7 linked regions of the Solanum lycopersicum genome follow. The main gene of each other region encodes a partner of the protein of the gene in region 2 in a complex. Links are inferred from orthologs where the notes say so. Each region holds a gene or a part of one and is shown on either strand. Other genes may lie near its edges. The genes, in order: large ribosomal subunit protein bL9c; 50S ribosomal protein L6, chloroplastic; large ribosomal subunit protein uL15c; large ribosomal subunit protein uL1c; large ribosomal subunit protein bL21c; large ribosomal subunit protein bL28c; 50S ribosomal protein L27.

What was found.
Region 1: 50S ribosomal protein L6, chloroplastic (region 2) and large ribosomal subunit protein bL9c share a complex: the UniProt entries of both Arabidopsis thaliana proteins name them as parts of the 50S ribosomal subunit. The link is inferred for Solanum lycopersicum from reciprocal best matches to the Arabidopsis thaliana genes emb2394 and RPL9.
Region 3: 50S ribosomal protein L6, chloroplastic (region 2) and large ribosomal subunit protein uL15c share a complex: the UniProt entries of both Arabidopsis thaliana proteins name them as parts of the 50S ribosomal subunit. The link is inferred for Solanum lycopersicum from reciprocal best matches to the Arabidopsis thaliana genes emb2394 and RPL15.
Region 4: 50S ribosomal protein L6, chloroplastic (region 2) and large ribosomal subunit protein uL1c share a complex: the UniProt entries of both Arabidopsis thaliana proteins name them as parts of the 50S ribosomal subunit. The link is inferred for Solanum lycopersicum from reciprocal best matches to the Arabidopsis thaliana genes emb2394 and EMB3126.
Region 5: 50S ribosomal protein L6, chloroplastic (region 2) and large ribosomal subunit protein bL21c share a complex: the UniProt entries of both Arabidopsis thaliana proteins name them as parts of the 50S ribosomal subunit. The link is inferred for Solanum lycopersicum from reciprocal best matches to the Arabidopsis thaliana genes emb2394 and RPL21C.
Region 6: 50S ribosomal protein L6, chloroplastic (region 2) and large ribosomal subunit protein bL28c share a complex: the UniProt entries of both Arabidopsis thaliana proteins name them as parts of the 50S ribosomal subunit. The link is inferred for Solanum lycopersicum from reciprocal best matches to the Arabidopsis thaliana genes emb2394 and PRPL28.
Region 7: 50S ribosomal protein L6, chloroplastic (region 2) and 50S ribosomal protein L27 share a complex: the UniProt entries of both Arabidopsis thaliana proteins name them as parts of the 50S ribosomal subunit. The link is inferred for Solanum lycopersicum from reciprocal best matches to the Arabidopsis thaliana genes emb2394 and RPL27.

The regions. Positions count from the first base shown.
Region 1 is NC_090810.1:57,591,530-57,595,613, forward strand, and holds the start of large ribosomal subunit protein bL9c, read right to left. Parts: upstream 2,801-4,084; 5' UTR 2,656-2,800; coding exon 2,518-2,655; intron 2,403-2,517; coding exon 2,275-2,402; intron 732-2,274; coding exon 686-731; intron 550-685; coding exon 452-549; intron 377-451; coding exon 329-376; intron 1-328. UniProt on the Arabidopsis thaliana protein: Binds to the 23S rRNA.
Region 2 is NC_090811.1:69,209,303-69,213,315, reverse strand, and holds the start of 50S ribosomal protein L6, chloroplastic, read right to left. Parts: upstream 2,801-4,013; 5' UTR 2,755-2,800; coding exon 2,717-2,754; intron 1,711-2,716; coding exon 1,402-1,710; intron 1-1,401. UniProt on the Arabidopsis thaliana protein: This protein binds directly to 23S ribosomal RNA and is located at the aminoacyl-tRNA binding site of the peptidyltransferase center.
Region 3 is NC_090804.1:3,795,317-3,799,277, forward strand, and holds the start of large ribosomal subunit protein uL15c, read right to left. Parts: upstream 2,801-3,961; 5' UTR 2,608-2,800; coding exon 2,527-2,607; intron 2,449-2,526; coding exon 2,091-2,448; intron 1-2,090.
Region 4 is NC_090800.1:78,432,222-78,436,172, reverse strand, and holds the start of large ribosomal subunit protein uL1c, read right to left. Parts: upstream 2,801-3,951; 5' UTR 2,733-2,800; coding exon 2,424-2,732; intron 822-2,423; coding exon 642-821; intron 536-641; coding exon 481-535; intron 1-480. UniProt on the Arabidopsis thaliana protein: This protein binds directly to 23S ribosomal RNA.
Region 5 is NC_090805.1:43,261,434-43,265,690, reverse strand, and holds the start of large ribosomal subunit protein bL21c, read right to left. Parts: upstream 2,801-4,257; 5' UTR 2,678-2,800; coding exon 2,384-2,677; intron 929-2,383; coding exon 848-928; intron 458-847; coding exon 356-457; intron 264-355; coding exon 189-263; intron 1-188. Other genes in the region: calcium-dependent protein kinase 11, read right to left, coding at 4,036-4,176. UniProt on the Arabidopsis thaliana protein: This protein binds to 23S ribosomal RNA in the presence of protein L20.
Region 6 is NC_090808.1:67,409,465-67,413,634, reverse strand, and holds the start of large ribosomal subunit protein bL28c, read left to right. Parts: upstream 1-1,370; 5' UTR 1,371-1,519; coding exon 1,520-1,736; intron 1,737-4,161; coding exon 4,162-4,170. Other genes in the region: uncharacterized protein, read left to right, coding at 1-519.
Region 7 is NC_090810.1:58,850,415-58,854,580, reverse strand, and holds the start of 50S ribosomal protein L27, read left to right. Parts: upstream 1-1,366; 5' UTR 1,367-1,413; intron 1,414-2,652; 5' UTR 2,653-2,659; coding exon 2,660-2,926; intron 2,927-3,606; coding exon 3,607-3,708; intron 3,709-3,779; coding exon 3,780-3,965; 3' UTR 3,966-4,166.

The sequences.
Region 1 (4,084 bases), on a different chromosome or scaffold from region 2:
ATTGCTTCAAAAAAACAGTTTTTGCTCTAGCAATAGACGGAAAATGGAATCAGTATACTCCACTGTTCTCGATGACTGATGTTAACGAGTAAGTAACATCGCACAGAAGGAATCACACAAGAAAATAAGCACTGCATGAAAAATATTTGAATTACTTAATAAACCAGATGAATCAGAGAACATCAGTTTTCAAGTTCATGCAAATTCATATTACAGGATCAACCTTATGAAGGACAATATACTTTAACAGTCTTCAATGAACATATAGTAGTAATTAGTTCGCATACTACTATTTACATGCTATGGCAGAAAGATTGGAAAATGGTACCTCTGTATCTGTGCTTTTATAATATCAACGAGATCCTGAGCAGTGACACTGCAAGAGAGATGACGTCAAAAGGTAGATCAAATATTCACCAAGTTGCTCATCACAATTTAGTATTTCACTGACCTTCCAAATATTTGCTTTCCTTTCCCACCCTTACGCTTCACCTTGAAGGCTCCAATAGTTTCAAAAATTCGAGCAAGCTGTTGTGCCTCATCTTTCACCTGAAATCAAAAACGTTTAACTAAAACCACATTCATTATGAAACTCTTTTAGACTTTTAGTGACTTGAAAATAAAAAAAAAATGTATATATTTTTCAACTTTCAATAGATTAGATTAATCAGAATAATCTAATTACCCGTTGTTTTTCAGCCTCAATTTTCTCGTCTTCCATCTTCATTTCCCTGAGTAAAAAGTACATAATGTTATAAAATAAAAATGCATCCATGAAGTTAGTTAATTCTCACTGATGGCGAAGCACGCTAATAGCTATCAAAAATATCAAACCAAAATTGCTTCTAACAACCATCTCTAACGAAGCCTTCACCTATTTGTTTTGTTCTTTAGTATGAAATAGCAAATCCCTTATATATAAGACTTTTACAGGACTATCACACCATTAATGTTAACAGCTGGTTAGGCCTATTGCTCACCCAAAAGCTAAAGACAAAGTCACTAAGTAGTAGGAAATCTAAAGTTTTATATCCAACCATTATCCATCTTATGCATTGTGGGACATTGTATTGAAGACGAATCCGTTATCAATAAATTATATTTGGTTAAAAGAAGCGAATTTACTTAAACCTATAATCATTAATCATACGAAGCACTATTTCAGGGAACAAAAGCCATACAGAGTTTGTGTACTGACCAAGAGTTATAACACCAAAGCCATACAGAGTTTCTGCTCAAGGAGTATCGAAAATGATTATTCTGGTACGACCTTTGCACGAAGATATGTATAATCCATGGGTCCGTCCACTTTTCAGCTAGTTACAATTAGTTTAAAGGATCCCATAGACTAAGTATACCTATTTTATCTCCATTCGACATAGGTCCATTGGTTTAGATAAAAGATAAAACAAAACAAGCAATAGTAATAACATACTTCCACTCATCAACAGCCAAGCAAAGTATTGTGTGTGGCATTTTAAATAGTTGAACCAAAGAATCCTGACATTAATTATGAGGCATGAAAATAAGATAACGAACAGAAGAACCAAAGTCTTGAGTTCAATAATAAGGTTAAGTCGATAATTTAACTAGTCATAATGCAGAAACAGACACTTGAACTCGGCATCAACTAGCAAGAAAACACTCAAACTCGGCATCAACTAGCAAGAAAACACTCCAACTTTGAGTATGCACATCTACACCTCAACTCATCTCCACTGTGTCAGTTGAACACTCCAACTTACAAAATGATCATCTAGGCACCAACCAAATATATTTGCCACATCAACATCAGGTGTCCATGACACACTGTGGATTATGCCGTTAAACTATACAGGGTGATTGGAAATGTGAATATTCAACACTTAAAATCAACTAACAGTCTCCAAAAGGAATACTTAAAAATCCATCCAACACAAGCAGAACCAATTTTAACAAACATTAAGGGGGTGTTTTGTAGCTAGTAAAAAAGCAACTTACTCATATATTAACTTAATGTATAAGTAATACAATGTTTGGCAGTTAGTTAGAGAATAAGTTATTCATGTATAAAATCAACACAAAGTTTAATTTGTAATTCAAAAACCTACCTAACTAATATATAATGTATTATCTTATGCAGGTTACAAGACGAAATAACTGATACCTGCGTAACTCTACCAAGCTACCAAACAACCGCGAACTCCACAAAAGTACAGCTAATGAAAGAAGAACCTAAAAGGCAATGAAATCAAATGGCAAAAATCTAGTTCAAAGTAGAGTTAAACGAGTTACTTGATAAGTGCAGCTGTCACAATTTGAGCTTTGCCCAATGGTAGCAAATAATTCCTAAAGAATCCAGCTTTAACATCCAAAAGGTCTCCCTTTTTACCCAACTGTGAAATATCCTCTTTCAGTATTATCTGTTCCATCAAAACAAAAAATACCCAATTCAGCTATTAACCATAAATGGACAAAAAATGAGATTTTGACAATTATAAATCCAACCCATTATCACATTTTCAAGAATTAGCTCACCTTTCGAACTTTCTTGGCTTTTTTCTGAGCAACAATTGTTAAAATTGAAGTTCTTTCTGAAAATTTCACTGTTTCGGAAAATGGGTTTTTGGTTAAGCTGTAATTTTGGAGACAAGAAGATGAACCCCATGACGCCATAGCTAAGTCTTCCTTCTTCTTTTCTTCACTTTTTGCTCCGTTTTTCTGTATTTTTTACAGTTTATAGCGTTATCTTATCTGTAATGGCGAACTGAAGAAGATAATGGATGTCTTAATGGGCCAACAAAACTTATTGGGACAATTCATGTAAAGCCCATTTCTTAGTCCAATTATAATATTTTAGGCTATTTGGGCGAAGGACAGAAATCACATACTTTTAAGGCAAAATTACCATTTGTTTTTTACAAGTATATAATTACAAAAATTTCTCAAATGATACAATAATATATTATTGTATCATTTGATACATTAATCTGATGTGTGAGATACATTAATCATTAAGTACGATACATTACATTTATACATAATACACTAATCTGATGTACACTTTATACAAGATACATTAATCTGATGCGCGATATACATTAATCTGATGCGTGATATATATTAATTTGATGTGCGAGATACATTAATTTGATGTGCTGATACGTTAATTTGATGTGTGAAAATGAGGGATTTTGGAGATTTGTAAAACTAATAGGGGATAATAATAGTAAGAGAACTTAAAAGTGAGATTTCTATCATTTACCCTTACTGAAATACACGTCTTATATTTTCCTTATTTTCATATATCCCCTTTTATTTCTAAAGACCTCTAAAATCCATTATTTCTTTAATGTATCCGAGCTACATATTAATGTATCCGAGCTAGTATTTAATGTATCCGAGTTACATATTATGTATGCGATTTATTTTATAATGTACCCGATCTAGTTTTTAATGTATCTGAACTACATATTATGCATCCGATTTATGCTATAATGCATCTAAGATACTCTTTAATGTATTCGAGTTACATATAAATGTATCCGATTTGTGTTACTTTTTAAGGGATTAATGAAATTACAAACTAAAGAGGGATGAATTATAATTTCATATTAAAATTATGTGATTTCTAAAATTTATCCAAAAAAAACAGCCCAACATAATACTCCATCCGTCTCAATTCATGTGGTGTTGCTTGACTAAGTAGTGGACATTGGACACGAAGTTTAAAAAATATGAAAATACTTTGTATATCTCAAAACTATCCTTAGAAAGAACACAACTTTGTAGACGTTTTGTCGAATAAGTGGGATCCAGTCATCTACAAAATATTGACAGTGTCATTAACTATTTATCAAATAAAGAAATGTATCGTTCTTTTAGAATTGACTAAAAAAAAGTTTGTCATCTAAATCCGGAGGGAGAGTATTTTACATTCACTTAGCCATATTTTTTTCATCAAAGTCATACTTGTAAAAGCGTACTCTTTCTGTCTCTCATACATTATTGTTTTGTATTTACACATATAAATAAGGGCAACTTTCACATATGGCAAATAAAAAATTCATATTTATATGCTATAACAAATTTTGTATATTTGCTT
Region 2 (4,013 bases):
TGTGAGTATGTCTCAAAAGGAAGTTTCCCTTGTTTTTATCTGATTAGTTATGATCTTCCCTAAGTTAAAGTAGTCGTTAACTAGCCGTTGGAGAGTATAAGGAGTTTTAATATGAAAGAACCAATTGAAGTGCGTGTCTAAACTCAAAAACATAGATTTTTTAATTATTTCTACTTTCTCTTCCTTCTTTTAAAGTTGGGGTTTTCCTCTTCAAATCTGTTGTTTACATTGAAAACTTTAACCGTATCCATTTTTTTCCATTTTCCCCTTGACCAAAGTGTAGTATATGCACTTGTGGCTTTTGAGACTTGCAAATGGCTTATTAGCATCCAGATATTATAGATCTTTCTCACCACCCCCTAATTGTGATACCTTTTAGCCTAGAAACACTACGACTAGCACTGATATATGTCCTTTGCTAGAAGTCCTAGCTGTTCTTACGTCTATATTCCCTCTTCTGCCTAATTTATCACTTCTCATGACCTTAGAATCATTAATTCTGTCATGGAACTAAGGATCTGCTACATTTGAACTTTGTTGCCAGTCAATCTTCTCATAGTGAGAAAGATCATTTCTTTAACATGTCAAGACTGAGAACTATGTACTGCTTTTATGTTGCTCGGACAAAAGATCGTTTCTTTAACATGTCAAGACTGAGAACTATGTACTGCTTTTATGTTGCTCGGACTCTTCAAAATGCTGCCGAGTGCAGGTCAGACCCTCCAAAAGTAGTGAACTTTTGAGGATCCAACACAAATGCAATAACATTTTTGGTGATTCCCGAGCAACATACTTCTTTTGCTACTTACAGTGACTAATGTCCACGTTTTCTTCCATATTTTCGAGTCCCCTCATAGCAAAAGAAGCATTCGATTATATCAATTTATTAGGTAACCATTGGCAAGAGGCTACAGCAAGTAATATATATCAATAGTTAAGATCAAATAAGTAAAGTTTAGAACCACAAAGAGGTTCACTATTTTTGAAACTTAGAAGTACTAAAAAGAACAGAAAACTTCAAGGTGGTAAGAAATGACTGCCCTTCTTTACCTTATTAAGAGGAAAAAATTATCCTTTCCTCTTCATTAACAACTAGGATAAAATCAATTAGGACTAGGACTGGGAAACATCTCAATTTGGTTATAAAATATGATATCATATAATTGGAGAAGATCAATTAGACCCTTTAAATCTTAAATTTTATGTCAGAAGAACTAAGTCATCACTAGTCCACATCAAAACCAGTCGTGAATTTCAAAGTAATTACTCCAGTAAGTAGATTATAGCTTCTTGATCATACGTAGTAGTAATAGGTAAATTATAACTTAGAATGTTTACCATATCTAAGAATAAAACCGAGAAAAGAAGTCGAGAAAACAGCACAATTAAACTGCAGACTACCTGAATAAACCATGCATCTGATTAGCGCGTCTTGTCTCCATGGCTTTTCTGACCCTTAGAATACCTCCATCTTCCTTCTCAAGCTTTACTTCTCGTGGATAAGTTATGGCCATCTCCCCCAGAGGTCCCTTAACTTTCAAATCTTGGCCTTCCATTGTGAGTGTCACATTTGAAGGTACTGATATTGGTTGCTTCCCGATTCTTGATTCTTTACATTCGACCGTCTTACTCACAAAACCAACACGGCGAACAGCAACACTCGATACATGAAACCCATTCAAACTCCCAACAAAAGGAGACCGCAAAGTGCTGACATGAAATAAAACAAGAATAACAGATATGTTTTACAAGAAAGCCAACACCAATAACAGCCACACTCAAGATATGAATCCCATTCAAACCTCTCAACAAATGGAGACCTTAAATAGATAAAACAAGATCAAAGTTTTTATTTTTACAAGAAAACATGCTAAGCCCCGACACCCTCTATACTGGCTAAAGCTTTATTCTTCAAATAAGGATACCCCAGAATCTGAAAGACACAAAATTGCATAAATTTGACACAAACTGACCAATAAACTACAAATGTGCAAAATACCCAATTTCAACAATTCAAGAATCAAAATGAAAAAGTAAAACTCAACAAGCTAAATGCACCTAATATGTATAGAAACAGTGAGTGAGAAGGGTAGCAGAATAATTAAGTTCTTACCCAGAACACACAAAAGCTACAAACTTTATTGTATAATAAGGAAACCCACAAGCTCAAAGACACAAAATTGCATAATTGAGCAAGAAACTATAAATGCACAATACCAATTTCAACAATTCAAGAATCAACATGAAAGTGTAAAAATCAACAAGCTATATGCACCTAATATGTGAAGGGGAGCAGAACAATTAAGTTCCTTACCCTCAATACACAAAAGCTACAAACTTTATTGTATAATGAGGAGACCCCAGAAGCTAAAAGACACAAAATTGCATAAATTGAGCAAGAAATTACAAATGCACAATACCCAATTTCAACAATTTAAGAATCAACATGAAAGTGTAAAAATCAACAAGCTAAATGCACCCAGTATGAAAAAGGGAGCAGAACAATTAAGTTCCTTACCCACAACACACAAAAGCTATAATTTTTATCGTATAATAAGGAAACCCCAGAAGCTAAAAAGACACAAAATTGCATAAAATTGACAATGAAACAACAAATGTGCAAATACCCAATTTCATTAATTCTAGAATCGACATGAAAATGTAAAAAGCAACAAGCTTCATAGTGTTAACAACAGATTCAAGAAGCTAAATTTACCTGGCATGTAAAGAAGCTGTGAGTGAAGAGCTACTCATTTTTGAATTTTGCCTGCAAGCTACAAGACTGAGTCTCTTAAGAGCTGAACTATCTTGTATAGTGGATAGAGCCCTTTTTGCCTTGCACATTAAAGAGTATTGACAATTTCACCCCTTATCCTATTTCAACTAAATAACAATTTCCCCCTCTATGTTACAAAGTTTCTCTTTTGCCCCCTCTTGATATCGGTAAATTCTTTGATACACATATGATTCGAGTTAAAGTTACTGAATCTAAATGAAGTCATAAGATGTATGTTAGATCGGGATGTAGATTTTTATCTATTTCGTATTACGTAAATTAATCATAGAGTCTCAAAATAAGAGTCAAATTAGTATTCGTGTTCACAAGAAAAGAATATCATATATTTATATAAAAGAGAATCTCTGCCCGCCTACATGGCAGCACCACAAGAAAGAATTGCCTTTTAAATTTAATTATTTCCAAAATTAGCCTTCATCTTGCTTGAAAACATGTGACTTTTATGAAAATTACAGTTGCGACTTTAACGAAGAATTGCGAATTTTATTAAAACAGTTGTAACTTTTTAGAAAAATTGTGACTTTAATGAAAAGTTGTGACTTTTATCAAAAGTTTTGATTTTAATGAAGAGTTGTTACTTTTATCAAAAGTGTGACTTTTATGAAAAGTTGCAACTTTAATGAAAAGTGGTGACCTTTCCGAAGGGTTGCAACTATTTCAAATAGTTGTAACCTTTCCGATAAGGCACAATAAGAATTTGTTCACGCTAACCTTTATTGTCTATAAATACAAAAATTTCCTCTCATTTTAAAACAACAAAAATTCTGATACTCTTCTACATCCGTAAAATTAAATATTTTTGTACTTTGCTCATTTTGAGTGACTTATTAACACCCCCATTATTTTATCAATAAGTTGGTGAATAGAATCATTTCATCCTGAGAGGATGTAGTTCTTTAAAACCTCTTATATTGGAGGGGAATAGATTTTTTAATGGGACATTGTGCATTCAATTGACTCGATTTTTTCCTTTATATTTAATGGTATTTATACATATCCTGGTATGTTTTTTTACGCTCATTAATTTATACTCATGTTATTAATTGTTGTTTTTGAGTACATATTTTAAACATTATTTTTATGTTTATGTTAACTTATTTTCTCCGGTTATATTGAACATATACACATATTGTATGTATATTTATTATCAAAAAAAATTATTGTATTTAGTTCCGAAAATTCATATTTTGATATTCTATATTAAATTTTAGAAGTA
Region 3 (3,961 bases), on a different chromosome or scaffold from region 2:
GTGGTAAACATGTAGTAGATAATTGCTTTTGACAGATTAGCCTGACTTGAGGGAAATCCTTAACTAAATCAACAAAACACATAATGAAACAAATTAAAAGACGAGATTGGAGGTTTTACAAAGAGCACTATCAATTACTTCAGTTATTAAGTTAGAATAGCCTAAAATAGTCAAAGTTATAAAAATTAGACATGGCAAGGCCTAATCAGTATGAAAGGCCTAAGAAAAGTAAGAACTTATTTTTTGACACACAACTCTAGGTGTGAGTATCAAGGTTCAGCATTATATAATGCGAATGGATACAAGTTACGCCAAAAATAAAGGACAGTTATGAATCATCTTAGTAATACCAACAACTTGACATTGAAGAAAATACTTAATCAAACGCCATGCATAAGGGAAAGTGAAGACTACTCAAGAGCCACACTGAGACTAGAGAGTCAAGGCACTGACATTCTCTTCAAATCAAAGGAAGAATAGCCCTTTGACTCGAGGGCCTTTTTACCTCCTTAGTATGAACTTTCCAAATCCTCCTCCTTTTAAAATAAGTTTCCTGCTAGGGGAAGGTTAGGAAAGGACAGATTTTATATCCGCTGATTCGGTTTATGATGGCATAAGGAGCATTTGTTCGAGTGAGAGCTCCTAGAATGTTCATTTTGCAGTAAGAAACTTCTTGACAGACGTTACACCTGGTTGGATGCTTGAGCACATTTCTCTCATATCGATCAAGGCTTTCCTTTTAGTTTAAATAAGGGGGTAACAGTCTTCGGATTATAGAGGAAGATAAAAATGTTGAGGATTTCAGAATATTGCAAATAAGAAAATAAGAATTTCAAGATATTTGCCTTGATGTCATATAACTATGCATAGCTTTATTTCTTAGTGCAATATATTGATCATTTGTAATAAATTTCTTTAGATTAATCATCAGTACAGTTTGAGTATGCATACACATATGTCCACCAGATGCAGATAAGACTTTTTATCATCCTATGAAAATCTGCCTCTGCAATGACACAACCAAAAGAAAAACAAACATGCTTGTAAACAAAGATACACACAGTGCACCCAAGTGAGTGGCGTAGTTGTTAATGGAGTTGGTTGAGAACCATAATGTCTCCTGTTCAATATTCATTTATCCAAGCCTTTCTGGATAGAGTTATCCGCTCAGCAGCGCATTTACTATTTGGAGATGGATGACACCAGGCAGGGCAGAAAAAAGAGTTTGTATTCCATTAGTTGAGGAATGAAGTAGCAAAGGAATATCCAACACAAGTGTTGGCAGGAAGAAGCAGGTACCCGTGGAATTAAGTACATGACAGTGTTATCAAATCAAAAAAACTCTGAGGACCATTGGGACTAAGCATAAAACGTGAATAAAGCATGATCTTTAATATAAAAAGGAGCAAAGGGAGAAATACAAATACATATGTTTGTTTAGTCTAAGAATAATAATTGTAAGCATGAATGACAAATATATGAACAAAGAAATTATTTTTTTTACTATTAAGTGAAATATCAATTGTTTAGTGTTGCCTAAAGAGACTCAAAAGAATGCCTAAGAAACTTGATGACGACCCTGAAGAGCACATTAAGCAAGACAAAGCGCTCAACACATTTTGAACCTCGCTTATGCACAGCTTTGACAACACTACTGCATGCAAGGTGCCCCGAACACAAATATAAAAAAGAACACATAGTCAAGTTAAAGCTATAAATTTTATAACACTTATCCATAGACTTTTAAATGGTAAACTATAACACTGCAGATGGACACAGAAACAAACAACAAAACAAGGAAAAACAAAATCCAACTCAAACTAAGGGGTCATTTGGTACTAGGGATGAGATAGACAAAGTTATCCCATTGATTAGTATATCCCGAGGAATTAGTTATCCCGCCATATATATATGAGATAACTTATCCTATCATTATCTTATAAAAATGACAAGATAGATATTCAGGGACTAACTAATACCCCTAACCAAAGGCAATCCAACATTTTATCCCGAGATTATTATCTCTTATCCCTTGTACCAAACGACCCCTGTGATAATATAATTATGTTGAAGCAATGTTAACAAATTACCTCCAGCAATTCCTCTCAACTTAGGAAGTCTCCTATAGAGAGGCATTTGACCCCCTTCAAACCCCTTTCTAACTCCAGGTCCAGACCTTGATTTTTGACCTCTCATACCAAAACCACAACTACCCCCTTGTCCAGCTGAATGCCCTCTACCTTTCCTCTTCCTATTCTTGGTAGCCCCAGGTTGAGGACCCAAGTTATTAAGCCGAAAACGAACACTCCCAGTTGCAGAATCAGCACCAAAACTTGCAGTTTGGTTGAAAACAACAAATGGGGTTCTTGTTATTGACTTAGATTTCAAATTGCAGACCTTTATTAAAGGCAAAAGCTTCGAACTTGACTTCAAATTACTTACATTACCCTGAAAAAAATTGATGGGGATAAATGAGAATTGTATAATTTTGACAGAAATTGAAAAATTAAAGAGGAGAAATTGTACCTTGAATGATGAAGAAAACTGGGTAATGATTGAATTTGTTCTTGTAGGTGATGCAGAGGAGATGGAGAGTAGAGACGCCATTGTTGATAAGGGAGAACTCAGGATTGTGTTCACTGTCCAAGCAAAAAGTGTTTTGACAAATTTTAACGGATAGGGGTGGTTATTTCAGGGACTTTCTTTTCTACTTTTTAAATTAGTTTACGAGTCTATTATCAGGTGTTCGATATTTAATTCGATATGTGTGTATTACACTTCATTTTGAGGATCGTGGTCTTTTTTGCTTCCAACATGATGTTTGATATTAGTAATAGGCTTAAATAAAATTTGAATTCACACACGACTGGGCACATTTTTAGAGGGGACTTTCCTAACTGATTTTTTTCATTTATGGGATTGAATTTGAAACATATGATTAAGAAAGAGAGATCTAAACGCTCGCTACAAGTCATATTAATTACTAACATGTTTGATTACTTAGTCATTGATAAATTCTATACGAGGGTTATTAGTAATTCGTCAACTTCTTTTTTAGATAGTAATCTTTCTTTTCTTCCTCTTTCGTCATGCTATACTCCGATGAGGATTACTCTTATAATGTTCTGCTTAAGAAAATTTAAAAGAATCTCCTTAATCCTGTCTTACTCCGCCCAAATTTCTGTATACATTCATTAATCAGCAAATTATAAAAATGACTACATTTATAGGATTTATCAAAGTTCAATAGCTACAAGTATGTTATTTATAAAAAATGAATACAATTTATATCTTTTTCTAGCTGTATTAATTCTTTAAATATTATTATTTTTCTATTTATACAGTAATACAAGTTTAATTACAACAAACTAAATAAGGAAAATGTATTAATTGTGTACAGTTAGTATATGAATACTTTGAATTCAAATTAGTATCTATATTTATAAAACGTAAAGTGTATATATATATATATATATATATATATATATATATATATATCAATGATACAAGTTTTTGTAAGAATTTAATGTATCAATATATATATCAAACAAGTTAAAGTATGACAATTAGCATATGAACACGGCTATTTGAAAAATGAATACATTATTGTTGTTCAAAAAATGAATGCAATATAGTATACATATGAATACATTGTGTTACTAAATCAAAGATGGATAAATTGGACAACGTAGAAACAAAAAAATAGAAAATAATAGAATGTGTCGGTATCAAAGTATATAAGAATTCGCCTGTATAAAAAATTGATAAATAACAATTGCCAATCTCTTTTTGGTAAGTGATCCTGTAATACATGAAGCTTGGTGTTAACTTAGGTATTTATAAAAATATAGTATTAATGTATCCAATTGTACTTGTATTGCCTAATCAATCTTGTAAATTGGATAAATTACTTATGTATCCAGATATATTTGTATTTGTAAATCACCATTTTCAACGAGTG
Region 4 (3,951 bases), on a different chromosome or scaffold from region 2:
GACCACATCCCAAATATAAAAAAGATCCTAGCATATTGCATTCAATCTAGGGTTACAAAAACTAGACTAACAATCACACTAAAAAGGAAGATTCATATGTCTGATCTTTTTTTTTAAGAAAAAAAAAACAATTCTGAAAGTTACTCCTTTTTCTTTGGGGTGCGTTAAAAAAAGTAGGGTGAAAGCTGCAAGTTCACTAGACAATCTAATTAACCAAGGCTGATTTGGGATGACAACCATATATGATATTCTAGTTTGCAGACCATTTCCACATTATTACGCCCAGTTACTTGTATCACATCTACACTTATGTTAAATGACATTTTAATTTATCAATACAAAATAAAAATGACTATTTTCTAGAAGCAATGAAAGGAGTTCGATAACGACCTTAACAGACCAATTATCAAGGAATCTACTTCCCTTGATTATTTGGCATACAATCACGATCGATTCACACAAAATATTTTTAAGGAGTACCTTGGGTAAGGACAGCCACTTTAACAGTTTGACCTGTTCCCTTGGGCAAGTTAACCTGAAATAGATAAGTCACCACAATTCAAGATATTAATATACCAGTAAACACTCGATATAGACTTTGAAGTATGTAATGATGATTAATGAAATATTTGAAAACTTACAGTTGCCCTAAGCTGCTGATCGTTGTATTTTGGGTCAATATTGAGCCGGAAATGAGCTTCAGCGGTTTCGACAAACTTTAAGCTAGCTGTTTGCTTGAGGAGTTCTATAGCCGTTTTCAAGTCATACTCTTTCTTGATTTCTCTTAACTTCTGAATCTCCAAGAACCTCTTAGACCGCGTCTAATTATTATGGAAAAAGAAGTAACCAATTTATGAGAAAATTGATGGAGCAACGGGTAAATGAGATAGAGAAAGAAACAGAGAAGTTTGATGCTTGATGTATCAGCAACAGGAAAAGCATATCAGAAACGCAGTTTGAAAATCAATAGAGATGATCTTCCACAACTAGCATCTCCAAAGTGCAAAATTATGCACCTGTACAGTGACATCCTTTTCTGGTGAAAGGAACAACCACATGCAGAATTATGTGAAATGTTTAATCTCCGGACAGCATATTTCCTCAGATGTCTTATTATGAGGACAAGGATCACATGAGAGAGTTCGAATGATCTAATTCAATCCCACTACACAAGGTCTAACTTTGCTGCATTAAAATTGATTGTTCACCATTCCTGATTGATCTTTGCCACCGTGATTCCACTTTTAAAAGGACTCCACATTTTATTAGTATTACACCAAGTAACTTAAGATTCTGAATCCTCACATGTTCGGGCAGGAGGAAGGTAGTCTACATTAAACAGGGAAAAAAAAAGCTTGTTCCCCCCAATACAAACAGGAAAGTACAGGCTATGTAAATACTTGCTTCATAACTTGCCAATAACTGCAAGCATATACAAACTAGCTTCCTTTGAAATGACACAATGTGAGACTAGGTAATTTTGACGTGACTCGCCAACCACAATACAGATACAATCTTAGCTTAATATAATTTCATTTCCATTGCTTAGAAATTGTAATTAACGTAATATTAAATTCCATTTCATAATTCCCGGTATAATTATAAATTTGTTAATAAGGATGGTGTCCCAGAAAGCTCATGCAACAGGATTAATCCACCAACGACCTGCTACTTCCCACTCAGTCCAAAAAGACTTAGAGCTGTTAGAAATCACCTACTATCATAATGAACTACTGAATTATCTCATCATCACACAAAACAGACCTTTGGTAGGTAAATCAGTACAGACCAAATTTTACACGACCAAACAAATTCAGACAAGTTCACCCATAAAAAATGAACCAAGAAATTCCAAAACAGGTCATATTGATAGTAATCTCACCACAAAGATCAATGAAACAGAACTTAAGCAAAAGCCACATATCATACAAACAAACAAAGACCCATTTTTCATCTGACATTCACAAAATTAATTAGAAATGAAGAGTTTCAACATAAATATCCTCTTTAGGGGCAAAAAAGTTATGACTTATGTCCATGGTAATATCGCCACAAGAATCATCATCAACAACACCAACATACACAGTGTAGTCCTTCAAAGTGGGCTCTGGCCAGGGTAGAGAGAAGTAAAGAGGTTGTTTCCCGTAGCTCAAGAAAAAAAAAAGGCATAGTTGTTTCAACCTATCATACAAAACCAGCAAAAACTCATCTTTCATCTAACATCCATAAATTAACCCAAAAAAATTTGGAGATTTTCCACATGCTATATCCACTTTAGGGGCAAGAAATCTATTTCCATTCTAATATCATCTCAAAACACAAAAATTAAGCAAACCCCACATATCACACAACGAAAAAAAACCCATCTTTCATATCTAAAAATCCACCAAATCAACAATAAAAAGATGGGTTCTTCAACATACTCTATCCCTCTTCAAGGGCAATGCAGCCTTGCCTTTCTTAGGCTTAGACGGAGGAATTAAAACAGCAACAGCCCCTTCTTCACCTTCCTGTTCCACGGCGTCTTCAACCTCAGCTTCAGCTGCCATAGCAGCAACAACAAGAGGTCCATTCTTCCTTTCTTTGTACTGGAGGCTTAATGGGTGCAGAGAAAAAGATTTGTGGGATGTGAAAAGAAGAGGCTTTGATTTGAAAATTAGGGAATTGGGGTTGAGTTCTTGTGAGAAAATAGAGGAAAGAGTGAGAGTAGAAGGCGTTGCTGTGGAAGCCATTGTTGAATGAGACCGAAGGGATTGTTGTGGTGAATAAACAAAATCATATATAATGCCTATCCATTTGGCGTATGTTGATAACGAGATAAGAGAGTGTATATCAAAAGTATGTTATTAGATTTATCATTTTGACCCACAGAAGTTACAGAATATATGATTTTACCTACTAGCTTTTGATTTTTAAACATATAACCCCTCCCTTTATTGATGCAAGTTTCCTTGGGAGAGTCTGAAAAAAAAAAAAATTGTTTCAATTTTATCGGATGTTTCATTGAAAACATATACGATAGCATGTTTTTATATATGATTAATCTTAAAAGTTAATAATTAAAGCAATTATATTTATTACTTAATAATGATTAAGTATGTATATATATATATATATATATATATATAAGAGAATCATATGTCAACCTAGGTAGCGTCATCACAAGTAAGAATTTTCATTTAAATGACTTATATGAAGAAGAGCTGTGATTTTTACAAAAAGTTACAACTTTTATGAAAGGTTGTGCTCTTTCAAAAGAATTGTAACTTTTTCAAAGAGTTGTGTTATTTCCCATTTGGCACAATAAATATTTTGTTCACACTATCCTTTGTTTTCTATGAATAGAGAGATTTCATTTTGTTTTAAAACAACAAAGATTTTGAACGTCTTTCTTCTGCATAATTAAATATTATTTTTGTATAAACACACTGCTAAACGTTCTATAAATATTTTGTTCACACTATCCTTTGTTTTCTATGAATAGAGAGATTTCATTTTGTTTTAAAACAACAAAGATTTTGAACGTCTTTCTTCTGCATAATTAAATATTATTTTTGTATAAACACACTGCTAAACGTTCTATCGTGAGGATTTAGTATTTTAAACCTCGGGTGGTAGAGGAGAATAATTTTCTTAAGGGTACATTGTGCATTTCATGGACTCAATTTTTTTATTTTCTCTTTCATTATATTACATATCCTAGTGTGTTTGTTTTATACTTTGTTGTATATGTTTCTGCAAAGTTATTGTTATAAGGATTTGTTAATACATATTAAACAACACACGTTATTTGAGTATTCATAGAAGTTTTCTCTACTGAAATTTCAGTTTAAACTGAATTTCATCACTCTAATGTGTTGATTTGTAAAGACACACAAACAAACTTAATAGTTTTATGTATTCAAGTATATATAATAAGTTAAATTATTGTACTATATGATACATTCTCCC
Region 5 (4,257 bases), on a different chromosome or scaffold from region 2:
ATGTCTCATACATGGCTGTAAGCTCACTGATTTAGACAGTTTTCATGTTTGCATGGTAATTATTTGCAGACATAGTTAAAACTATGATAGACTACGGTGCGCCTTGCTTTAAGGGCAAACAGATAGGTTAAAAAAGTTCAAACTACTTTATAGTTATTCAGATATCACTAAAAACAGTTCTTTGATACCTGTCTGTGACCAATATTCCTTCTGTAGTTCTTTTTCTTCTTATACTTGAAGACGATAACCTTCTTATCTTTCAACTGCATGGAAATGTAATAATGAGCCAACAGATATGTCAAGTAAACAAGATATACTCAGTGGAAACTACAGCAGAGGAAGAATGATGTCTGACCTGCTCTTCAACAACAGCGTGGACTGTTGCATTTGGCACCACTGGTTTTCCAACCCAAGTACTTGTTTTTGTTCCCACAAGTAACACCTTGTTTAGGATAATCTGCAGAAGCAACAAGTATAGATGCTTCAACAATGATCCTCATTGTGGAAATTTTGAAATAAGAGTATTGCCAATATGGCAAGAAAACCTTGACATACACATATAACCCTTATATCAAGTGTTAGCTTCCGTGGAAAATAACTGGTGAAGACAATGTATTAAAGATAATAGAAATAGGACAAGCAAATGTCACTATTGGTTGAAATTGATGCCTTTTGACATAATTGAGAAATTGCTGCAAGCAAGTTCTTTTTGATTGGACACCACAATGTTGATATGAGATAGCGAGACAAGGAAAAAGAAAAACAACTCACGTAACTAAAGCCAAAGCCACAGAGAGGTAACCAGATTTTGGGAAATCAATTGTAAATTAAGACCAAAAATGCTCACTTTGTCATTGACATTTGCACCTTTAAGCCTCTGGGTGTAGATATACCGCCCAGGAAAAACAATATATTGCCGAGATCCAACCTATGAAAGCGAAAGAGCAAAAATGAACAAACAGCTTAACGTATTAAAGACAAGCCCCATAGAGTTATATTAGGGTAGTGTCACATTCATCTGAAAAAAAGAAAAAAGAACAAAATAAAGCACAAAATTTGACACCTAGAGGACTTGAAAATTGTTAGCAGCAGGAATAATGATCAGATTGAAATAGCAGCTATAATCTCCTCGCAAGAGTGAGTATTTTCCACATGGAAAAGAAAAAATATTCATCAAATAAGTAGTAAACATGAATGTTTTCTCCGGTTAAATACAATAGTTCACAATTCACATTAAATAAAAGATGAAAGTGTAGAATATGGCAACCTCAAAATCAAATTTCAACAATTACTAGACTTTTGCTTAAATGTTTGCATGGACTTGTAGATATGTATTCCCTCTGACAACTGTATAACACCTAAAGTTAGAACTAAATGATAGTTATCAGTTATTTATTAGTTATATTACTTCTAATCTGCCATATGAACCCCTTTGCAACTTAACTAGAGGAAACGCCTACCGAAAATAGATGGCCCACTTGTAAAACGAAATTAAACTAAAACCAAAGAGAACATAGACTGAGATTTTTGAAATTGGATGGTGTCCAGAACACAGGTAAGGATATACCAAGTACTAAATCTTCGTCATGTCTTCATAATAATTATAGTTTTCTGTTAACATCAGCCAACTCTACTGGAGAATACTAAGCATATAAAAAGTTCAGTTCAGCTTATTTAGCACGGACTATTTTAACATTTCCAATAGCCACCACCACTGCCAAGTCAATATGACACAAACATATAGACATGTGTATTGTTCCTTTAAGACACCCTAAAACAGAATGCTAAACCTAAGCATCACAGAATGGCATTGACGTATAAATAACAGAACGAAAGAATTTCATTGTAACACTCCCTATTTTCACCACATACACCATAGGAAGCAGTAATGTATCAACAGTACTAGCAAACACGAAATATGAACTAAGTGAGTGAGGTGTGGTGGAACATTCTTCATGAAAACAAATTTTTGGAACTTCTAATCCGTTTGACATAAAGGAAGTTTTCGTTCTAGTGGCAAAGGTTAATTCGAGAAATTGCTTCAATAATAGGTCTGAGTAATTTTGAATTCCCCTTATTAAAATTCCGACTGCTTTTGTGATATCAAAGGTTGAGCACATGACAATCTTGAACCAAAGTTGTGATCTCTATACAACAAAGTAACATTCCCTTAGAGGGAATAGATCAATTTCCTATTTCCTTCGAGAAAAAAATTCAAGGTAACAGACAACTGAAACATTTTCCGCTGAATTTTCAAATTTTCATTTGGGACCTCATAATTTTTTCAATAAAAATCTAAATTGTACCCTCACATTGATTTCGAAATTGAAAACAAACAGATATGTCTACACAAATTTAAACATGAATGGAAGTGAGTCGTCACCATAACAACAGCAAAGATTTCTTCCCGTTTTGGTTCCAAGCTAGTGGCTTCCACAACAGGCTCTTCTTGGTCAGCTTCAACTTCAGCTACTGGAGCTTCAGATTCTGAGTATTTGGGTACAAAAGAGGATAAAGAATTGGGCTTGGAGAAACGGAGATTGAGAGAGGAAAATGAGTGAGATAGAAAAGTAACATTGGAATTTGCTTTGGGAACAGAAAGGGTGTTAAGAAAAGTTTGGTTCTTGGAAAGTGCTGTTGAGGGGGAAGATGTAGAACACAGGGAAAGGGTTGCCATTGTTAGAGAGTGAGAGGTTTTTTTTGGGTATTCTCTGTCTCTCTCTCAATTTTATCTGTTGAAGCCTATCCTATCTGCAGTGGTAGCCAAATGACTATTTTACCCCGAAATCCTTTATTTATTTTTTTAAAAATAATTGTATTAGAAATAGTATAAATTTACATATTCTCGTAACATAATACTCCCTTCGTTTCAAAAAGAACGTCTCTATTTCCTTTTTTAGTCTGTTTCAAAACAAAAAACTCATTTCCTTTTTTCATAATATTTTAACTTGAACTTTCCACGTGACATGTTTAAGACCACAAGATTAAAGGATATTTTGGTACATTTGACATAACTTTAATTTAGAATCACAAGATTAAAAAATTTTTTTTTCTTCTTAAATTCTGTTTCAAGGCAAGCTAGACCATCCTTTTTGAAATGGAGAGATTAACAAATATTCTAAATTATATAATAGGTCATTTACTCTTGAAGCCATCATTGTTTAATTTTGACTCGAGGTTAGTTATGTAAAGCCTCCCATCTACTTTTTGCAATTACATATACATTATATTTAATTTTCATAGTGCTAGTACTATTTTTGATATGTTTTATTTAATTTGAGGCTCTTAAAAAATAATTATTCTATCTTTAAAACGTAGAAGTAAGATTACAAATACGTGGTAAGAAGAGTAAAATAAGAACAAAAGTAATGCCATTTGTTATGTTAAAAATCAAGCCCGCAAAATTGGAAGGAAAAAAAAATAAATCAAAAAAATTACACAAATAAAAGAAGACTGAAATTTATTTTAGTGTTTAATATATGACAAAATGATCTTAAAAGGTACTCAATTTCCAGTAACATCAAATTAATATAGACATAAAGAAGGTTTTTACAACACTTCTCAGGTACAAACAACTGTAATATTTTAGAATTTATGAACTAGAGGAAAAACCCTCAAATTATATAAGATAAAGTAGCAAAAGTAGGAGTAACGTTTGTTTACATCCCACCCTCTCCAGATCTCGCTCGTGGAAAGATACTGGGCATGCTGTTGCTGAGAGTAGCAACAACTGAAATTTTGCTACTATAGCACTAAATCTATCTACCATCACAAAATAATAGAGCACCAATATATGCTGGTAATAGCCCAACATTGTCTTGGCAAACACAGCTCTACTTGACCCCTCTCGTCCGGTTGAAAGCCTCCTTGAACTCCTCTGGTTATTGGTTGGTCCAACGTATTCTATCAGCTTGGTCTGGTAAACAATCATGCTAGAATTAGAGAGTTAGATACCAAACAATCTAAATATAATGTTGGTATAATACATTTCCTAATAATATGCATTTTTTGATATATTATAGAAGTAGAAACCTTCTATTCTTTTTTCTCACTGTCACTTGCTCCAAGTGCATCAGCCAAGTTAAAATTCAAATTGCCTCTCATTGTTCTAGCAGCAAATCCTGTATTTCCCTTCTTCATCATTGTTGCAAATTCGCCGTAATCTATACGTCCATCCTGCCAAACAGAAGAATATATTAGCTTGACTTAACTCAGAAATGTGATGCCCATGCGGAGGGCTGGTTGATGAGGTCAGGT
Region 6 (4,170 bases), on a different chromosome or scaffold from region 2:
GACGATGCTTTGGCTGGTGGCAGTCATTCGGATGATAGACCTTCTGAGGAGCTAATAAAAGACGACAGCTCTGACCCTCTACCAGATGACAGTAGTGTCTCTGCTCAAGAGACAATCTTCCAAGAAAATCTCGAGGTTACCCGTACTGGTATGGTTTCAGAAAGGAAAGATGAAAATGCTAATCCCAGTCCACTGGAGCATCTTGAGATAAACAATGACTCACCAGTTAAGGAAGCAATTAAGTCAGAGGAAGACAATGGAAATGTAGACGATAGACCTTCTGAACCAGAATTCTCATCGAAAGAAGAGTTGGATGCTCCAGAGGAACTTGAGAAAAAGGAAGAAATCCCTATTACTGAAGTGTTTGATCCGGGCTGTGTACTTGTGGAGTTTAGAAGAGCAGAAGCTGCATGCACGGCTGCTCATTGTCTACATGGACGACTGTTTGACGACCGAATAGTGACTGTGGAGTATGTTCCCCTTGATCTCTATCAGACAAAGTTTGCTAAACAAAACTAATTTCTTTTGGCCCATTCAAAACCTTATGCAGATCTCCCCAAACTTGAACGACGTTAACATAGGATTTCACAATGCTTAACTGAATGTTTGTTTGCAATTTTTACCATTATTGAGATGCCTTGGTGTTAACCCTTTTGTTAGTGCGAGAGTCGTACCCGATTTGAAGCGGAATACATGTTTTCTCCCAGATGTAGAATGGGATGAAGGAATGAGCCATTGTATTATGTCATCTAAAAATTATGAACTTTGTTTTTAAGTTGCAACAGTTTACCTACTACTTACAATATACAGGAGCACAATCTTATGGCTTCTTGAAATCTTTTATTTACCTTCTTATTATTTTGCCTTAATGTCTTGTGCTTGTAGTTCTAAATGATGTTGGTCACTGACTCAGTTGGACAGTTGATGGGATAACAGATTTTAGGGGTTGTTTGGTTAGAGAGATAAGGACATTCATAACATAGTGTGATTGATTTGAAGATAGTAGAGACGTTCAATATTATAATGATTTGATTTTGGTCTATTTGTTTGGTTTATCATAAGTGGAACCTGAAGAGGGAGAAAACGCTTAATATTATAATGATTTGATTTTGGTATAGGCTTAATAATGATTTGATTTTGGTATAGGCTTAATACTCTCTTTGTTTGGTTTGTGATATTAGACTTCCACGTGAGTAAGTAATGGAAATAAGATTAAAGCATAAACTAAGATAACACAAGTAATGCAAATAAAATTAAAGCATAACTATGATAACATATTACTTCCAAATAAGTTAGATTTTGTTATTTATTTATTCTTTTATTTAAATCGTTTGATATTATTAGACTAAAGGAAAAAATAAGTTAAATATATAATAACAATAAAAAAAAATATGAAGGCCAACAAATAAAATCATTACCCACATCCATTTCGTTATCCACTCTTCACTTCCTTCTTCAAAAAAAAAAGCAACATTCTTGAGACAAAAAAGATTCTTGCTTTGAGGAATTGGTTGCAAAAATGGCGACAATCACAGCGGGTATAAGCCTCAGAGGACCAGTAGTGGGTGGTTACAGGACATTTGCAGTGACCAAAAGGGCTTTACCCAAGGTGAAATTCAGCTCAGAGTTGAGTTTTGTGACTTCTCAATTGAGTGGCATCAAGATTTCAAGCACCCATTTGAGCTCTCCTGCTTCACTTTCTGTTCCTTTCAAGACAGCCCTTCAACCTGTTGCTCGTAATTTCTCTACCCTTTTGTTGTGTTCTCTGTGTTTTTAGTTGTTGGGGTTGTTTCTTTTTTGGTCTAGTAATATGCACATGAACTGTTTGTTGTTTTGTTTGTTTCAGTGAATTGTTGGGTTTTAACAATATTGTGAATTGTGTGTAAGAAATTGTGCTTGTGGGGAGGCAGTAGGTAACCTTAGAATTAGTCGAGGTGTGCGCATACTGGCCATACACCACAATTGTCAAAAGGAAATTGTATCTGATAATTTGAAGTTTAGTTAAGTACTTGTTACTTAGGGTAATGGTTGTTGAAGTATGTGCAAACTGACCCCGACATTACCATTATTTAAAATAAAAAAAGAGTCTTGGTGCAATTGCAAGGTTGCTCCTTTGCTGACCTGAAGGTTACGAGTTCGAGGGGCGGAAATATTAACTTTGTAGACCTATTGATGGTAGAGGTGACATTTCAGCTTTCTGAATTTCAATTAATTGGATCACATGCAAAGGGATACTGTATGGTATACACCTTCGGTCCCTCTACCCATGAAGTAGGGATAGTAAGTTCTTCTTGAACATTGATGGGGAAAAAGGAAAGATGATAACTTTCAAATGTTAATACGATGAATCATCATTTTGGTGCAGGTAGCCTTTTTATTTGTGTGTGTGTGGAGTGGCCGTACTCAAAGGGTCACAGGACCGAAATCATCATGAGTGTTACTCAGATAATTGCTCATTCCATACCTGAGACCCCATTTAGTAGTCGGGTGTCTAGAATTCAGATATGTGCTTTGTGTTGATAGCACATTACGTTAGATTGTTTAGTACCAAGTGAAAGTTAGTATTGCTGATATGGGATGAAAATTATCCCTTACAATGTGGAGGATCTGAAGACATAGCCAAAGTTGGAAAAAGTTTGATTCAGTTGCAATTTGCAAACTAAATATATTGTTTTCTTGAAATCTGTGGTATGGTAAGCTGAGCACTTGACATTAATCACATATTATTAAGTTACATATGATAATCAATGATTAAAAACCATATTATAGTTTACTATCTAAACAACTTCTTATATAACTTCAAGAGGAGAGATTAAAGGGGTGTCATCATTCCAGGGGTTTAAAAGTCTGTCTACAGTCGCAAGAAATAGGGATAGGACAACCTCACCATGTGCAAAATTAACAAACTGGGAAGAGCTTGATGGACTACAGCATATTGATTAAAGGGAGCTGCCGCGTTAACTGCATTAATAACAACAAGATCAATAAAATACGGTATATAGTTTGGAAGTTTGTCCATAGTTGTCTTCATATACTGAATGATCCCTAATTTTTCCTCCTTGGCTCTTTGTTCTCTGACTTAAGGATTGCCGATATTTAAGGCATAACAGATTGTCCAAGTGAAGAATTATAAATTATTTCATGATAAATTTCTTATATAGATGGTATCAACAGTTTTTTGGTTAACAAAGTTTGCATTCCTTTGCTGCAATTCATAGACAAAGCTGCAAAAGAAATACTATATGCATGAGAAGATATTATAATTCTTGTCGAGGCCTTTTAGGTCTCATTAAAAACTGACTGCAGCCTAAAGGGAGCTTCATTTTCTTGCTTTCACCTCTCTTGATAATGAGCAGGATTTCCATCTGCCTATTCTTCTCTCCATGAAACTTGCAGCCTAATAGTGAAATAAAAGCTTTATGAGATTCAAAGCTTATGAAAGTAGATTTCTCGCTATCAAGAATATGTAAATCCATTTACCTCTCAAATTCACCTTCTGCATTTTTTAATATTTATTTACCCACCTGTGTCCTTATTACAAGTGACCAAACTAGTTAAAAAGAAGACGAAACCAATAATGAGAGGCTGAGAGAGTGTGTTAGCTGCAGATTTGGAAGGAAAAATCTACAGAACTTGAATCTTCGGTGTGTTCGCCCCTCTGGTGTACATTATATTTTGAATATGATGATAACAGCTTGGTTTAATTCGTTCTCATTGTATGACAACAAATTGTAAAGGGTTGACTTACCTTTTGTGAAATCCAGTAATGGCAGAGTATTTGGCTTTTAGATCACTGATGAAGCTTTAGTTTACTAATCAGAAAGCACATTATGAGAGTCATTAGGAGCACTATATCACTGACACTCTTGCTTGCTTTGACTCCCTTTCTAAGTTGCTGCATTTGTCAAACTGCATCCTGAATTCCTTTGTTTTTTTAGTCCAAAACTACTTAAAGCCTTTGAGCTAATAGGTAAAATAAAACAAATTAGGGACAAGAGTAATCAAATATTCCCAGTGAAGCATCCTTTGCCTTACATCATCATGATCTTTCCTTTCCCCCCCTGCTTTCCTGCATTTTTGTCGGTTGTGCTCGAATATCTTGGCGCCTCTTTATGATAAGTAGCGTATAGAATATTAAGAGAATACATTCTGTTTTTTCAGGTAGAGTAT
Region 7 (4,166 bases), on a different chromosome or scaffold from region 2:
TATTTTAATTTTCCATCACAATCTTTATCGGTATTTTACTATTACATGTTAAAACCATTGATGTATTTGCACATATAGATTATATAGCATGATGTTGGATTTAATTATTTTATTGTATTAATTTTATATATTGAAATTTAGATATATTTAAAATGTTCACCTAATATTATTTTTTAACCAATAAATATATTTATTCTTTGAAAGAATTAGGTTCATGGCATTTATATTCTCCACTTGTTCTTGTCCTATAAAAGTAAATAAATTAAACAATCTATTTTACTTTAAATATTCTTCTTTTAAATCCTTTAATTTACCAACACAACTTTTGACTCGAGCAATCAATTCCACTAACTAGTTCAAGAAGCATAATATGAGCAATTTTCAAGAATAATGTGGCATTATTGTAGGTCGGCGTGTTAAATAATCGGGTTGAATTAAAATTTAAAATATTAAAATGAGTTCAAATAAAATTTAAGTCGAATCATAACCTCTTCAAATTATGTTAGGCTCAAATAGGATAAACATTGGATTGGATCATGACCTGTGCGATTTGACATGTTTAATCTCAATAATTTAAACATATTGTTATTTTCCTTTAATAACTATTATTTGAATTTTAATTCAATAAAAACAGTTATAAAATTGATATATAAATCATAAAAAATATAAAATAGATTCTAATTTATGCATTCAATATGAGAACATAAATTACACCAATACAAAAAATACTCTTAAAACATGTTGAAATTAGAGATTACATTGGACACAATTAAAAATTATTTTAAAATGGGCTAAAACGTAAATAAGTTGAGATTGATCCAATTCAAAATATCTAGAGCTCCCGCCTATAAAATTTTAAATGAGTTAGACGAGTTATATATATTTAGGCTCATTTTGACATTCTTAACCGTACTTGTATGGAGGTATGCAAAAAAAAATTATTCTTATACTTTTTATCGAAAAATCATATTATATATGCCCGTAAGTAGGAGTATGAAATTTTCTCGATAAAAATTAAATTAAAAATTTTTAAATATGATTTCATTTTTTGAAAATACTTTTCGCAGAATATCAATTTGAGATTAAAAAACGTTTTCAAAAATATAAAAACAATCACTTGGATTTTAGTTTCGAAGAAAAGATATCTGAAAAAACATTTTATTTTACTAATTAAAATCATATTATTCCCCTTTACAAGTTCGATAAAAATATTTACAACTTCAATATTTATAAGCAAAATTAATTTATGTCCATAACTTATGTTCGATAAACGAAACCATTAAACTTAACCCGAAAACAAGCTAAAAAAAGCCCAATTCAAAACGGGTCAAGTATATTATAAAAAGGATGGCTGACATTTCTCTTATCTTTTTATCTCGAAGATTTTGCCATTGTGGCTCCATAATCCCCTCGGTGAGTTCATCTCTTTTCCCCTCTTCTGTAAATTCAATGTTTTTTTCTTGTACTATGTTTAATTGGGTGTTCGAAAATGTATTTAATTTTAGCTGACTCGCAAATCTTGGTTTACTATTCTCTCCATTTCAATTTGTTTGTGTGGTTCGACTTTGGCAAATAATATAAGAAAGTAAAGATTTTTTTTTAATCAAGTGGGGTTGAAGTAAAACTAATGTTATGTCGAATGTATCAAAATGTTGTTTAATGTGAAAAGTTAGAATTGAAGAGTTGCTATTGGAAATTGAAATGGAGGGGGTTAGTATTTATGCTTCACTAGGATTTGAACTTGAGACGTTATGGTTATCAATCTACTTTATTGACCGCTACTAATATTTTAGGTGGACTGCAATCTTGATGAACATACTAGTGTTTATTTTGTTGTTGATACTGGTTTCCTTTGATTCCTCTTTGTTTTGTGGTTTAAAGACTTGTCCTTTATGATTAAATATGGTTCTTTTATGACCAATTGCTTGCGTAAGGACTTATTTGCGGAATATTTTGTGGTGTAGAGTTTGCGAAATGCGTTTGTGGTGGAGGGGGGTTGATGTTTGGTGTAATTTTGAAAAGAAAAACAATGAGTGGAAGTAATGTGTATTGAAATGCAAGAGATATATAATGGAGTAAAGATAGTTGTAATGAGGACTTAAGGTACTTCTATTGTTAGGAGTGTGTGTTTTGTATTTTTTTTGAAGATTGATAATAAGCTCAGCAAATTGGTTTTATATTTTGATAAAGCTGAGTATTAAGAAATGACAATATTATCTAAACAGTGGTTGGAGCGAGCGATAAGGAGAAAGAGCTGAAATCGTAGTAAAAGGAAATGACTTATCTCATAAGTGAGAGTAGTTATTTCCCCCTTTTGATGGAAAACTTTTTTTCTTAGGAAATATGTTTAGGACCATTTTTATCACTCTTCTACTGTTTTAGTCATACCGAGCAGTGTTAAAGTCAGAGTCAAACCTTCTGTAGACTTACTATCAAAAATATATTTCTCCAATTTGTGTTCGCGATGATCCGGGGAAATTTTAGATTGGCGATTAAGATCCTTGGTAGTTGTTATGGTAATAGTTTTGTCCTCTTAGTAGTTCTATGCTCATATTTTTCCCATTGTTAAATATCACTTCCTTTCCTTTAGGCCTCTCATCTCTGATAGTAAGTACCACGAGAGGCTACTGAATTTCTTTGTTTTCTTTGCAGCGTATAAATGGCAGTGAGTTTGAGTCTTGTTTCCTCATTCAAAGGACTCTCCTTATCTTCCAATTCTCTCCTTGGGGTTTCTCTTCCCATTGCCCCTAAGTTCTCCGTTTCCTTCCCGTTGAAATCTCCATTGACAATTGAGTCTGCACACAAGAAAGGAGCTGGTAGCACTAAGAATGGTCGAGATTCTCCTGGACAGAGGCTTGGTGTCAAGATTTATGGTGACCAAGTCGCCAAGCCCGGTTCTATAATCGTTCGCCAGCGCGGTACAAAGGTTTCAATTTTACTTCTTCTGGATCTCCTCTCTCTTTTTTATTTTTGCCTAAAACTCGTATTTGCTGTGGAAGTTCTGATAGTTCTTTTGATTAATTAATAGTGCTTGAAATGAATTCGGATGAACCCACCCAAGTAGAGTGTAATTCCAGTTTTTTTGCTCAATACCTCACAAACATACTAGGTCCTGGCATCTTGTCAATAACTCTGCTCCATTCGTCTGGCTTTCTTCGTTTGGTTTGTATATTATTTGTTAGAAATATGTGGATTGTCTAGAGGGCGTTAGATTGAGTACAAAACAAGGTACTAGAGGGATACATATCTTGTCATTTGAAGTAACAGATTGCTATAAGGTTTAAGGTTTTGAGCTCGTGTCGTGAAGACATAGTTGGAAGTTCTCTTTAAGAAATGCACATTTGTTATAATCCGACTTGAGTTTTTTTTCTTTGCCGAAAGTGTCAGTTTCTGACAGTATGATGCTATGAGTAGATGTCGTCTTCTATCAGTTAGATAGTAAAAGGGTTTATGCCAGAGGTTGGTATTAGTTTTACTTTTTTTCGGCTCTGATATGATCCTGTTATCGTCTGTTTGTTTGCTCTAAGAGTAGTTCAAAAGTTGCATTCTCCGTTTAGCATTGCCATATATTCTGTTCCCTAATCGTTCTCGTGGTGATATTTCCAGTTCCACCCAGGAAAGAATGTTGGACTTGGCAAAGATCACACAATATTTTCTTTGATTGATGGACTAGTCAAATTTGAAAAGTTTGGACCTGACAGGAAAAAGGTTGAGTTCTTTAGCTTACTGCTTGTAGATATGTGGTACACGAGTGTTATTAACGTATACTGACTGTGCAGATAAGTGTTTATCCACGCGAGGTGCAACCTGAAAACCCCAACAGCTATAGAAACCGAAAGAGAGAGTCCTTCAGATTACAACGTGAACGTAGAAAGGCACGAAGAGAAGGTGTCATCCCTGAGCCTCAGTTGATAGTTGCTTCTGCTGCTGAATCCTCTGAAGATAATCCCATCACCACTTGCTGATAATGGTCTTTCGATTTTTCAAACATTCTGTTGTCGTTTTGGTTATTGCTAGTAGCTACTTGGGAACACATTTGCAGGCACATTTTCTAAACTGTGTTTCTGCCATTGTTGTCTTTTTTTGTTTGTAAATTGTGTTACTGAAAGCATGAGTCTTTGTCACAGTTTGTATGAGTACAGAATGAAATGTATGATTCAGAAGAT